2 linked regions of the Drosophila melanogaster genome follow. The gene in region 1 interacts genetically with each later gene. Each region holds a gene or a part of one and is shown on either strand. Other genes may lie near its edges. The genes, in order: Wwox and Sod1.

What was found.
Region 2: of Wwox (region 1) and Sod1, changing one enhances a phenotype caused by changing the other (phenotypic enhancement), as found in Drosophila melanogaster (one study listed by BioGRID).

What each region holds. Positions count from the first base shown.
Region 1 is NT_033779.5:7,998,260-8,006,961, forward strand, and holds Wwox (WW domain containing oxidoreductase), read right to left. Parts: upstream 6,028-8,702; 5' UTR 5,930-6,027; coding exon 5,838-5,929; intron 5,776-5,837; coding exon 5,266-5,775; intron 5,205-5,265; coding exon 5,025-5,204; intron 2,175-5,024; coding exon 2,045-2,174; intron 1,978-2,044; coding exon 1,849-1,977; intron 1,774-1,848; coding exon 1,585-1,773; 3' UTR 1,411-1,584; downstream 1-1,410. Other genes in the region: Sirup (Starvation-upregulated protein), read left to right, coding at 854-908, 990-1,291; Spn28Dc (serpin 28Dc), read right to left, coding at 6,392-7,301, 8,173-8,702. UniProt on the Drosophila melanogaster protein: Putative oxidoreductase. May control genotoxic stress-induced cell death. May play a role in TGFB1 signaling and TGFB1-mediated cell death. May also play a role in tumor necrosis factor (TNF)-mediated cell death. May play a role in Wnt signaling.
Region 2 is NT_037436.4:11,110,020-11,115,373, forward strand, and holds Sod1 (superoxide dismutase 1), read right to left. Parts: upstream 3,722-5,354; 5' UTR 3,621-3,721; coding exon 3,555-3,620; intron 2,830-3,554; coding exon 2,434-2,829; 3' UTR 2,262-2,433; downstream 1-2,261. Other genes in the region: emei, read left to right, coding at 11-385, 486-781, 843-1,100, 1,169-1,343, 1,406-1,669, 1,726-1,845; FoxK (forkhead box K), read right to left, coding at 5,066-5,354. UniProt on the Drosophila melanogaster protein: Destroys radicals which are normally produced within the cells and which are toxic to biological systems.

The sequences.
Region 1 (8,702 bases):
TACCGATGGGACTTTGCGATAAGAACAGGGCGACTGGGCGACCTTATAGCCGTGCAACTAACCTTTGATATAAAATGAAAAGGGTGAGCTCGCTGGATTTCAACGATCGATGGCTCTAATCAGCTTTACATGTCTTTAATATGACAACATAATGAAAAGCATATAGAACATTACAAACTCCAGATAGGCGCGATTATACGTCGGTTTCTTATACAAAAAAAAAAAAAAAAACTGATAAAAAATGCCAGTTGATAATATATTAAGAAATGGTTTGAACATTTTTGAATTTAATTATTATGCAGAAGTGAGCAAACAAATTTGCAATAGATTTTAAGAAGTGTGATAGTACTATACCATTAAGGCGTAATAAAAAATAAATGCAACTAACTGTTAAATGTCTTGAGTAAATGGTTGAATGCACTTAAAATAAATAAAGTTGCAATATTTTTCGCAGTTTCTTTCTTTCAATAACGGATTTAAATTTAAAAGCCAGCGTTGCCAGATAGCATGTAGCTAGAGTTACAGCTCAATGCCTAGCACAGTCATGCACCCTGGTGTGCGTCTCCGCTGTGCGTATTGTATGGCTATATTTAGTACATTTTCAGTGCCACCACAACATATGGCACAATAAATAAAGCAACTAAACAAGCAACGCGGGCTATAAAAGCGAAACGCAGCCTCGCAGATTGCAATTCAGACGCGAAGCAACAAGCAAGTGACATTGACTCCCAGCCGAAAGTGAGACTTTTGAGTAAACACACAAAGTGTAACTGCGACTAAGAAGCGAACAAAAACGAAGATTCGCCGGCATCATCTTGCATAACCGATAAAGGAAATCCAAACAAAAAACAAAATGCAATCCGTGACCAGACAAACGGCGCGAGTCCTGCCCCAAATGGGCAAACAAGGTGTGTGTGTGTGTGTGTGTGTGTGTGTGCGCACTGTGCTGGAGTGGCGATGCTAACGTTCTTTCAATTTTTCATTAACAGTGAGCTATCTATCGACGAGTGGCGCTTGGCGGGCAACCGCCAGCGGTGGCGACATGGTGGTCGAGATCAAGGAACCAAAGACGCGCACCGAGAAGCTAATGGCCTTCCAGAAGAAGCTGCGCGCTAAAACGCCGCTGGGCAAGCTGGATGAATTCTCGCGACATCCGTACCAGGAGAAGGAACCACTCAAGCCCTGGCCCAATCAGACCAATCCGTATACGGGCGAGATCGGCGGACCAGCCGGGCCGGAGCCCACACGCTACGGCGACTGGGAGCGCAAGGGACGCGTCTCCGATTTCTAGTGCCCAAATGAAGAGTTCCTTAACTAGTACTTAGACTGTTATTTAAATGCTAGCCATTAAGACTTAAAAACAAATCAAAATGTATACTTGTTTAGTGTAAAAAGAAAATACATGATATTCTTAACGTACAAAAGTTTATTTGCATTGCACTTATTGGGCAGAAACTATTAAAGAATTCAAAATATATCTTTGTAATGAATAGCTGGTTTAAAATGTAAAATTATACCTAATGGAATCATTGGTGGTAGCATAATGCATAAATATATTTAAAAAACAGTAGCCAAATGACTTGGCTAATGCTGCTCCTGCTCCACAAGCTCGGCAATCAGGTTCTCGCTCAGCTTCCACAGTTGCTGCTGCAGTGCAGCACTTTTGGACAACTTGCTGGGCTCGCAGAAGAAGCAATTGTTGAAGTACAGTCCAGACAATCCGGTCAGCTCGTTGGCCGTCGCACAGTAGATACTCGTGGCAGCCGCTTGTTGCTGCCATATGGGGCACAGAAAGCAATTAGTGAAAGTTAAGGGAAAACAGAGAGTTCTTCTCATTGCCAAACTCACCAGCGACTTGGTGAAGGGACGCACAATGGCAAAGAGCAGGCGGTAGAACCAATAGTTTCGTGACAAATCGCTGGACACCATATTGCCCGGATGCAGGCTAAAAACAGAAATGCCTCGCTGCTTCCAACGCTGCAACAAAAAAACAAAAAAAAAGGGTTGGCAAGTGGAATTCAATTGACCCAATTTAAGGACTCACCTGGGCGAGCTCCTGGGCGAACAAGACATTGCATAGCTTGGCATTGTTGTAGGCCATCATGCTCCAGTATTTCTCCGGCGGCGGCGAAAGGTGATGCACTGCCAGATTCTCCACGGGCAGGTTGGCAAATCTGCATGTTAGTTAGTAACTAAGATTATTTGCGACGCATTTCTTTGTCGGTACATGAGACCCACATGAACATTTCTCGTCCAAGTGAACTCACTGGACTTTGGCCCCGCCGGCCGACAATCGCGAAACGAGTCTTGATTGCCATTGCCGGCTGGCATAGCCGGCTTTAAGCGCTCTTTATTAATGAGATGCAGAATTAGCGCAGTGCAGGGCGCACAAAGGCTCCCCACGAACAATGGCGTGAGTCAACAAGTGGGGCCGGCGGAACAAAGCCCCACAATCGAACAAGGACCCTCTGATATGCATAGTGAACTCTATGGCGAACTATCTATCTATGTATCTATCTATCTATCTATCTATCTATCTATGTATCTATGTATCTCCAGTTTTCGGCGGAAGCCTCTGGAATCCTCGGCAGTAGCGCATGCGCAAGTCGCACATTTCCTGCGAATCCACGAATGCCGCAACATGAAAACATTTCTATACACAAACACATATCTGCGCGCACATTTCTGGACTTTGGATTTGTTTTCATTTTATTGAATATCTGCGCTCGGCTTGGGGGCGATGTAAATATAACGTCGCAAAATGTATGCAAATTCAGTGTTATTTATAAGTATGGGTATCCATTGGCATCCATGACAAATGAAACCCGTTGGCGTTCCATTTTTTTTCTTTTTTTATATATGTATATTTGTATCTTGTTGTGGTAGGTAAGCAAAAAAGCGTTCTTTTCGACTGTTTGCATGTAAATTAATTAGGTTCTACAGACAGATAAATTGCTGCTGAATGGCATTTAATTTTAGAACAATAACTCGTTGCTTTACCTTAAGACTCTAATTGAATTAATAATTGTTTAATGTCTGGACAACTTTTCCCACGCAAAAATATAATTATTTGAAAAAGAGAAACCTTAAATAAAAATATTTTATCTATGCAACAATGAATAACCCAATTTTTGTGAGCTGATGCAAGAATAACTAATTGTAAGTAATCTTTAATGTTTGAAAATGATAACCAGTCGAACTTCCATACCAACATTCATATCTTTTTCTCGCCCGTGTGAACGTGCAACAAAAGTCTCGTGCGCCACATTGGAGTACTCGCAGATAGTCATGTATGCTCCGCGAAGCCAAAAAATGTTGTACGTGAGCACAGCAACGAACGCAGCAGATACAAAACCACCTCCAATAGCCAGTATGTATGTACATACATATGTACATCCAGTTCAGTTTGAATTGGTATTGTGCCTCTTCACGAGATTCGCTCACCCAGTGATTTATTTGGTCTTTGACAGCATGCACAGTGAGCCATTCGAGCGGCCACAAATGAATCAATCTAATTAAGCGAGTTAGCGCTGATAAGGAAAATTATAGGGGCACTTTTTACATTTATAGTATCTATTTAAAGCATGCTAGTTTTGAACATTCAAAGTTTATCTTACAAAAAAAGTACTCTGCTTGGATTTATATGCGTAGCTAATCTGAATGTGTTTTAGTTTTAAAAGAAAAACAAAAATACTTTCTTCAGTTTAGTTAATTTATCTCATAGATATTTTTTAAAGAAAGATTACAATCATATTTTCAGAGCTCTCTACTCCACTGTGCTTACAGCTGCACGTGAGTTCGATCATATTGCTCTATTGTACGCACGTTTTTGGTTTTGATAATACAAAAACCCAGCTGCGTTGGCCTCGTAATTGTTTATATTTATGTGTTTCTTTGTTTGCCTCTGAGTGCGCAGCACAATATGTAAACGAAGCCTATGAATAATATATACTCATATATGCCAAGCTGAGTTCAATTACGTTTCGCCTTGAAATCGAATCAAACGGAAAACATCTTACGCAAACAAATCTGAGGCAAATAGGCAAACATTTTGGAAAACATTACACTAGACGGCATGGCTGAGGCGGAATGCATTTATTTCTGGTTTGGTCTATGAATAGTTTGGCCCCAAAGTGCGAAAAAAAAGAAAACGCTGGGTGCAAAGTCCACTATGCGGAATCATAAAAGTGCAATCAACTTGCAAAAATAAAAGAAGGCAACTCGAAATGGCAGACACACATTTAAAACTGATGGTGTCGAATACGAAATAGCTATTGAATTTATAACTACATTAAATAAATTAAATTAATATTGTAAAGTTATTAAGATAGTTAAAACATAAAGTATATAATTTTATTTTATTCCTTATTAAAAATATATTAAATATATATATTTTTAGAATGTGACATGCACCAAATTCAGCTTCAATTAAAATACCCGTGTGATTTTGATAATAATCATTTTGCACACAAACAGGTTGCAATAATGACAACTGTTTGCCGGCCAAAAACAGAAACAAAAAAATAATAATTATTAAAACGAGATTAACAGTGCTGACATTGAGAAATTTAATTAGGAAAGAAATAAGCCAAATTGATTCAAGAAAATAGGTTTAAGAAATTATATATAATACATCAATTTATATATTTTGAAGCTTCGATGTATTTTATTTAACTTAAGTAGAGACGATTTTCTATTGAGACAGTGACTGATAGTAAAATTGATACAAGAAACAATACGATCGAATTGTAAATAACTTTTTAATTCCCTTACTGATAGTGCGAAATATAACCAGTTGATTTTGTATTTCCCATGTAACCTTTTTTAACATATATCTTTTGAATACTTAATTTTTAAGATTGATCTATTGATATTTCATACGAAATATAAAACTTAAGTTCAGCGGTTAGTTTGTAACCTTTTATACACACCATAAGAATATATATGAATTATTTCGTAACTGGTATACTCTATTACCCCCTCCCTCCCTAATTACGTGCTAAAGTGCTCAAATTCACACTTACCTGTGCGACTCGGATGACAGCACAATGATCCGTGTTTTGTAGTCAAACAGTGTCTCCAGTTGCAATGTGAGGTAGAAATGCGACAGGTGCGAGACCTGGAATGTGGTCTCCAGACCATCCACGGTCCTCGTGTAGGGCAGTGCGAATACTCCGGCATTAAGGATGAGATAATCAATGTGGCTGCAATATAAATATAATTATCAATTAAATAATATTAGATTTTGAAAGCTATGCTACTGACCTAACACTCTGCTTAATTTCTTCCACAAATCGCTGAACTGAACGCAAAGAGCTCAAGTCGAGAGCGGCGAATCGACAGCGGGAACGTGCTGCAGGTCGCTCCTGGGCAATCCTTTCGATGGCCGCCTCTGCGGAGGATCTGTTCCGGCAGGCGAAGATGATCTCACAGCCGTGATGGGCGAGCGAACGAGCCGTCTCGTAGCCAATGCCACAATTTGCGCCCGTTATCAGCGCGGTGCGTCCATGCAAATCCTTGCCGTGCAGCACCTGCAGTGCCGTCGAACAGGAGTCAAATCGCTGGCGCACCTGGGCCACATTCTGTGTGGGCTCCTCCACGGCGAATGCCAAACGAGGATCCACATTCGTTCGTTGCTGCGTCTCCTTGTTGAGGAACATGAAACGCTTTCCCTGCTCATCGTAGTACTTCTCCCAGCCCAAGGGTAATTCGCCCGTGATCCGTTTGGAGCGACCCGTACGTGGATGTGTCCACTGTGATGTTTTTCCCTGCTGGCTAAATGGTGCAATTAAAAAATATCAGACAATGTTTACGACTCCACTGGACTTTTGACTTACTTCACATAGCAAACGGTGCCGTCATCGGTGGCACGTTCCTCCCAGCCGGGTGGCAGCTCATCCTCGCTATCTGTGTCGGGTAGGGCTATCATTTCGAATCAATTTAAACTTATTTAAAGCTTTATTTCTAAAGTATACACTTTTTATTGCGAAAAAGAATACAAAATAATTGAAGATATCGATAACATGCGGCTTAAGCGATAACTGCCGACTAAATGAACAGCTGTTCCGTTAAACGAAACATGTTACCCGCTAATAATCAGCATCTCCGTTTAACAGAGCTTTTAACCGCAACCGGTTGATTGGCGGTTGTTTTTTAAATTTAAATGATTTGTAGAAACTTAGCGCCTTGAACATTTGTGGGCATTGTTTAATCTGCCTGCTGTACGGTACATAGGATAATGTGAAAAGATTCAACAGCAACAAAAACCAATACAAATTTTCATAATTTACGTTTTAATTTATTTTTCATCATTGTGAATGATTTATTAGTTTCCTAACTATAAAGTCAACGAACTTAGGTGCTAAAGCTTAATAACTTATGATCCTAGAAACTAAGCGGCCGCCGGGGGCTCATTTATGAGTCCGTAGAAGAGCACCAGTTTCGTGGGATCGTGGCGCACAAGGACCATGAATGGAGTGTCTCCGCGGAAGAGGACATCGGGACCGGATTTCTTGAGGTATGTGACCGAAGACGCCGCCGCCTCCGTGCCCTGCTCGTTGACGGTGAAGTCCACTTTGTGAACAATGTCATCCACCACCAGATCGGAACGTGCTCCACCCGTTCCGGCTCTGCGCTGTGCCTCCAGATTCTGCAGGCTGTTGCCGCCCAGCGCATTCGTCCTCGTGGCCTCGTTGGTGGCGATGAGCGAGAGATCATTCTGCACCGCGCTAAAGATGCCGCCCAGCCCCATTCGCTGCATGACTGTCTTCAAGTTCACCGACTCCGTAAGATGCATCTTTGGGAATGCCACCAGAGCGGCCCGTCTGTACATTCGGCTGATCATGCTCTCGATCTTATCCGCCGTCAGACGTTTCTGCAGTGCCATTAGCTCCCTCACCGACGACTTAAACGGCTGGATGATGTACATGGTGCTCAGATTTCCCCTGTACGGCAGTCCAATGATCTTGCAGCCCAGCTCGTGATCCTCGTGATACGGATATGCACCACCGGTGGCCATCATCTGCACCCTCATCACCGGCTCCGTTCCCTCGCCATTCGGATAGAAGTTATCCGGACGTGTGGCTGACTCTATAAAGTCCGTTTCCCAGAATGCCTTAAAGTACAATGCGTTGGCCAGAATCATCCTGGTGGTCTGCGGAATATCGCTGGCGATGATGTTCTCGATGTGATTCTTTGTGTGCTGCGCCACATAAGCATTGATATTGTATCGTGCTGTCGCCGGACTGCCCTCGAAATCCTGAATCTGCAGATCCGAGGCGTAGACCTCGACGATCACCCGTCTGGAATTGCACAAAAGTGGAGCTCATGAGTAATAAATCAACAAGGCGCAGCTATTAGTATGCCAACAACGTTGTGCAAAGTGGAGCGATAGTATTGGGGAACTGGGGATGGGTTGGAATTGCAATATCTGGTGAGCTAAATAATAACTTGGGAAAGTAGTTTTTTTCCGCTTTTTTTGCAATGTTTGATCAGCTATAATTGAAGAATAAATAAATAATTAAATGTCTTAGTTATGTTTTTAAGTTAATCCATTCTTATCAGTGCTTTTTATTTGCCAAATTTTTGGCAATTCATTGTACCTACTATTTGACCTAAGGTTTCTAATTAAATATTTGATTAACTGATAATTCCAATTCCAATTCCGATTTAATTTTATTCAAGTTCTCTACATAAAAACAATCGCACTAAAAGTTCTTACTAAATTTGTTTGTCAATGGTTCCCATTTATATTCTAAACTTTATACGTACGTACGTACATATATATTTCTCAATGAAAGCTTGGGCTTTAAAGATTCATAAATATAAGTGGAATTACACGCTCATTTCTACACAGAAAAATATATTCTAATATTTTCTCGTTGTATATTATCTTCGAATATAAAATAAATACTTCCTTTTGGAGCACCACCATCAAGAGACACTAAACGCTTGATGATAATGGGTGAGATCATTTTGCTGGTACAATGAACCTGTTTCCCTCACTTGGCATTCAGAAAAGGAGATCACTTTAGCCCGCATGGCCTTCAGTTTTTCACGGTGTAAAACCTCAAGGCGATCGCTAATCGTTTGGCATTTCCCAGCACCCATTCCCAACCAGATATCGCTATAGTTCCAGTTTGCAGCCGGATAATTATCCGCTGCTCGGCTCACCTGTAGTCGGGATTGAGTGTGTAGCCGGTCTGTGTGAACAGTCCATTGGCCAGGTGCACCTCATGAGCACCGGGTCGCTGGGCCCGTCGATTGGATCTCATCGCGCTGCTCGCCCGCCAATCGGTCAGCGGTCGTCCTGCGGAGATCGCCTCCCTGGTGGGCTGTTGCAGATCCTGCAGCATCAGGCCGAACTGTTCGTGCAGCCTGGACGTGTCCGGAATATCGAAGACCGTGGACAACTCCTCGTAACTGCGACCCTTGGCGCCCAGGAGCAGCAGAGCCAGCGAGTGTACAATGCTCAGGGGAGAGTATATCTGGGTTTTACCGTTGGCCAAATGCTGGCCCAGAATGTTGGCAAAGTTCAGCACACTGTTCGCAATCCGATCAGAGGTGGCCAGATCCACATAGCCGTTGGAGTAGGCAGCCGGAAGGTTGGAAGGTTTCACCGAAGTGCCGGATATGCGATTCAACGCAGGGTCATTCTGGTTGCCAAGGCCGTTCACAAGGCCGGGCGATTGAAGGGGCACCGC
Region 2 (5,354 bases), on another chromosome or scaffold:
ACCATTGCAGGCTGTGCTGGGCGCCCAATTGGTCATCACCTTGGTGATGGTCAGCGTTATCCAGAAGTTGAGTCCACACTACTCCTTCGCCAAGTGGATTCTGTGCCGCACCGGACTCTATCGATACCTGCATCCCACGGACGATGAGCTGCGGTCCCGCGGCGGTGTGCCCAAGGAGAAGCCACCAAAAGGTGGTCGAAATAAGCAGGCAAATGGTTCAGGAGGAGCGGCGGGTGCACAATTCCACATACCGCGCAGCATTGAGGTGGAGCTGTTGACGTCACCGGTGTTGGAACGGGATGTTGTCCACCTGCGCTACTTCACCGAATATCAATGGCTGCTGGACTTCAGTGTCTACACGGGGATCGTCTACGTGGTCTCCGAGGTGGGTAAAGCTCGGGTTGTTCGCCTGAAAATCCGACTACTGTGATCCTAGTTCTAGGAATGCATACCATAACTTACTAATTTTGGATTCCCCTCCACAGCTGTTCCACTTCTACTACCCGCTGCGCCACGAGGTCAACTTGAGCATGGTGTGGTGCCTGCTGGTCATCTTCTTTGCCCTGAAGCTGCTGTCCTCGCTTACGGTGCTCTACTTCCAGAGCGAGGAGTCCATCGGCGAGAGGTCGATGGTGATTGTTGCCTGTTTGGTTTACCTGCTGGTGGCCATGGTCGTGCTGATCGTTGACGAGCGCATTCTGGAGACGGGACTGGAGGATGCCTATGCGAGCTTTAATGCCAGCGCTTCCAAGTTCCTCACCGAGCAGGGCCTGCCATCATCGTGAGTTCGCCCCTGTTTCGCGTATCTCTATTTATTTACACTCTTATTCTTATTTTTTCAGTGGTCCCGCCTCCAAGATCGTGGTCAAGTTCTTTTTGGCCATGGGTTGCGGCCTGCTCGGCTCATTGTTCACCTTCCCCGGCTTGCGGATGGCCAAGATGCACTGGGATTCGTTGAAGTACTGTCGCGGCAACCGGTTGCTGCAAGTGCTCCTGAATCTCAGCTTTGTGCTGCCCTTTATTCTGGTCATCCTGTGGATTCGGCCCATTAGCCGCGATTACCTGACGGTGCGCGTCTTCCAAGGAATGCAACAGCCACTGTGAGTTAACCTACTCACATTAAATTAGTTTTTACTAATTAACAAGTTCATCCCGATTATTTTTGCAGACTGAAGCCACACGTTTTTGAGACACTTCGCCTGCTGCTAGTGATCTTTGTGGTGGTGGTTCGTTTCGCCTTGATGCCCATATATCTGCAATCGTACCTGAATCTGGCCCACGACAAGATCATGGATCTGCGCAAGGAGGCCGGTCGGATCACCAACGTAGAGTTCAAGCAGAAGGTGGAGGCAGTCTTTATTTTATACAAACGTTCATCGAGTAAATCCTCCTTTCCCTTTTACAGATCTCGTCTATTTTCTACTATCTATGTGTTGTGACGCTGCAATTTGCTGCCCCACTGATCCTATGCCTTTATCTCACACTTATGTACAAAAGTCTGGGCGGCTTTAGCTGGTCGGGTATTTTCCGCGAGAGCGTTGTCCTGCAGCACGAGTGTGCGGCTAGCGAAACGGAAGGAGCTGGTGTTGCCGTTTCCCAAGGAGATGGTGACTTTAATATTATTGAGTCGGCGCAATCGCTGCAGGCTTCGTTTAGCAGCCTGAAAAACGTAAGAATCCTTGCTGTGCACGTCAATGCCAGTTTTAATCATAATTTCTTTTTCAGGTTTTCTCCACGGAGGTGTACAAGGGTTTCCTGGGCTTTGCCACCTGGTGGAGCTACTTCACCCTATTCGCCACTTCATCGCTGGGCATTGTCTACCAATCATATTTCAACAAGACCTAGGTTCATTTAAATCCCCGTCGTAGTATATGACTTTGTTCTTTTGTAGTGAATTTATACCGCACACGAAATTAATATTAGTTTCTACTCATGTGGCGAGTATCTTGATTTACAATATTTTTTGTAAATAATACTACCTAACTCATTGTTTATAAAGTGTGTTTTAAAGACTTTTAACCAGGCTGCCCGGAGAGTAACCAAAGTAATTACAAAAATAAATAAATAATCTAAAACGGAGATATGTTATCAAAACATGAACGAATGTGTGTCTCATCGTGATTTTTGGGTTCTGCACTCATCTAATATGTAATTCATTTCATACGAATCTATAACCCGATTCTACTTGCGAATTCGTCGAGCAACAAGTGATATATTCATTCTTACCATCTCAACTCAAATGAAAACTATAACTTTTGTTTATGGGGCAATTTCAAAACACCAATTTATTGAACCTCAAAGGTTGCGTATCAACTAACAGACCACAGGCTATGTATTTATGTTTAGAAGTATGTATATCGTTTGTATATCTCCAGTGGGTAGTGCTAAATAGAGTAGATCAGCACAGTGGCCGACATCGGAATAGATTATCGCTTAGACCTTGGCAATGCCAATAACGCCGCACCCGATGCGGGCACCAGCGTTGCCCGTTGACTTGCTCAGCTCGTGTCCACCCTGGCCAAGATCATCGGCATCGGCGTGCACGACAACGGTGCGTCCGATGATGCTGTCGGCGCCGAAGAGCGTAATCTTGGAGTCGGTGATGTTGACCTTGGTGGGGCAGTCGCCGGTGGCCTCAATGTTGCCCAGATCGCCCAGGTGACGATTCTCGTCGACGGGAGCGCCATGCTCCTTGCCATACGGATTGAAGTGCGGTCCGGACGACATGCAGCCATTGGTGTTGTCACCGAACTCGTGCACGTGGAATCCGTGCAGACCCTTGGCCAGGCCGCACACCTCACCGGAGACCTTCACGGGCGTACCGCTGCTCTGTGGACGGGATGAAGGGATTGGGTTATAACGCTTCAGATAATACTCGAATACTGATAAGACACAAGTTGTGTATAATAGTGAGCAGAAGCACTGATTATGATAACGAGCGTGGCCAACTTCATATGATAATAGGTTATTATAGAAAATAACATTTGTTAATAGACACACGTTAAACGGAAATATTTATAGGCAGCAAAGTAAACATTTGGTTATCTTTATAGATTAAAAACATAAATTTCCTCGGCACTGAAACATAACCTGTAATCATCAAGTTTATAATCGTTTACTTGACACTTGACATTGCTGCTTTGACTTTGATGTACAAATTAATTATGAACAGCATCATTCTAATTATTCCCATATTCCTAATGCTTATTCTAAAACAAATATTTGTTGATATTTAACGATACTTTACGAACAAGTGAGCTTTATATCTTAACTCCTTTTTATGTCCAGTACCAATTTCGTGACCTTTGCTGTAGGCACTTGAGCGCACACACATATGCGCATTTTGGTGCGGCTTATATAAATATAAAGGTGCACTTGCTGGGTGACTAGGCGTAAACTCAAATCGGACTTAATTAAAATGCTCGACAGAATTTAAAGCAGCATATTGAAGTGGAAGAGGGGGCCGCGGGTGCAGCCGGCTATTTGACCTTTAGAACTTCTGTTTTTCGTACATTTTGCCGAGCAGAGAAGTTCAAATGATTTTGGATTCTCACCTCCTGTTCGAAGAAAACCGTGCCCTTGGCATCGCCGTTAATTACGCAGACAGCTTTAACCACCATTTCGAATGAATTAATCAATTTATCAAAACGAAAAAAGTTGAGAACTTTCCAGGTATCTTCTATGGTGTGACCGTAGCAGAGCAGCTTAGAAATACATGCGGAACTTTTACTGTTAGTGTTCAGTTGTGCAAAAGTTTCGTTCACACTATTATGCCGTTACTGGAAGCATTTTTTCTTTGTAATATTTCAAGCTCATGTTTTATTGGGACATTTATTTACATTTTTAAGGATAAAAGCTACAAATTACAAAATTTGAAAACGGAACAATTTTACTGCACAAATGGCGTTGAATTTTTTGAGCTGTTCAACGAACGGGTGGTTCACTTGGAAGCCTTCCATTTATTCCAATGACAGTGGCGGGAACTATTCAATTTACTTTGTTTTGTATAAATAAAAAACGAATCCAGGAATTCCCCAATAAATGCCCAGACTTGATTGCGCTCCTGTTGACTAGTATCAACTAGTATTCATTCATCTATCTAATTCAATTAAAGCAGGTAAATATTAACAAATTGAAACAAGAAAGTTTACATTTGATTTTTGTTTTTTTTTTTAATACACAATTTGTCCAAACACTTAAATGGGATTTTCTTCATTAATAAGAAATAATGTGCTATCATTTCAATCTTTATATATTGTTATTGTATCCGTAAATTTGTAGATATTACTTATTTATTTTCATCATTTTTGTTTTTGTTTGTATTTTAATAATTTGTATATATATTAATATAGATATACATATATATATATACACATATATATATATATTATATTTAAATCGATATAGGTAAAGGTATGTAGATAGGTAATATTATTCATTCGCCTGTTTGTTTGTTTGTTTGTTACTTGTGTGGTTTGCTTGCTTGTTACTTAATTTTCCCCAAATTTTTTTTCACGTTTCTCGCACAATTCGGTCACATAGCTATAACATCTTAAACATCATAATCATCAATCATTACAATAATCAATCGCATATATCTAGATAATTTTGCTTTGTTTGCTGCTTTACCTTGTTGTAAACTTAAAATTTATTATATTACTTAGAGAGTAGCGTCATCGAGCATATTGAATTCGTCAGATCTAGGGGATAAAGTCGTTACTTCGAATCGGGTTTTCGAATTTTCAAAATGTGTGCTTGCATAAGTCGCCGCCGTTGAACGGCTGCATGGCCAACATTTCAAACACAATCATCTCACAGTTGCTATTTGTAAAATGTTCCATATCAATTTACATATACATTGCTCTTCGCGTGCGTTCATGTTCCTTAAGTTCTGCGTGTGTGGCTATTTAATTTGATTTGTATTTCGGGGTTTAGGTATAGGTTTTTGATTGGCAAATTCAATATACAAGATGGAGATACTTTTTTGTTTTTGCTTTCTAATCGTTTACACCCATGGGCCTCACTATTTGCCCTTGTTCTGCCGGTGCTTCTGGATCCGCACGCATCAGAGCACTTCCGACACATACTTGGGTCGCTTGGCCACGGTGGCATCGGTGGCAGTGGTGACGCACTCCTCCTCGCTGGCCTCAATGTGGCCGCTGTAGTCGGTCGGCAACTCCTCGTAGATAATCTCTGAATGCTGTTGCTGGGCCACGGCCTGCTGCTGATGCAGCGTATGCTGCGATGCCCCGCCGCCCATCACATGGTTCCTCTTTAGCGCAAGCAGAGCTCCAACCCCGCCGCCTCCGCCGCCGCCGCTCGCTGCGCTTCCTTCCACATGCGTCTGTGGTGTG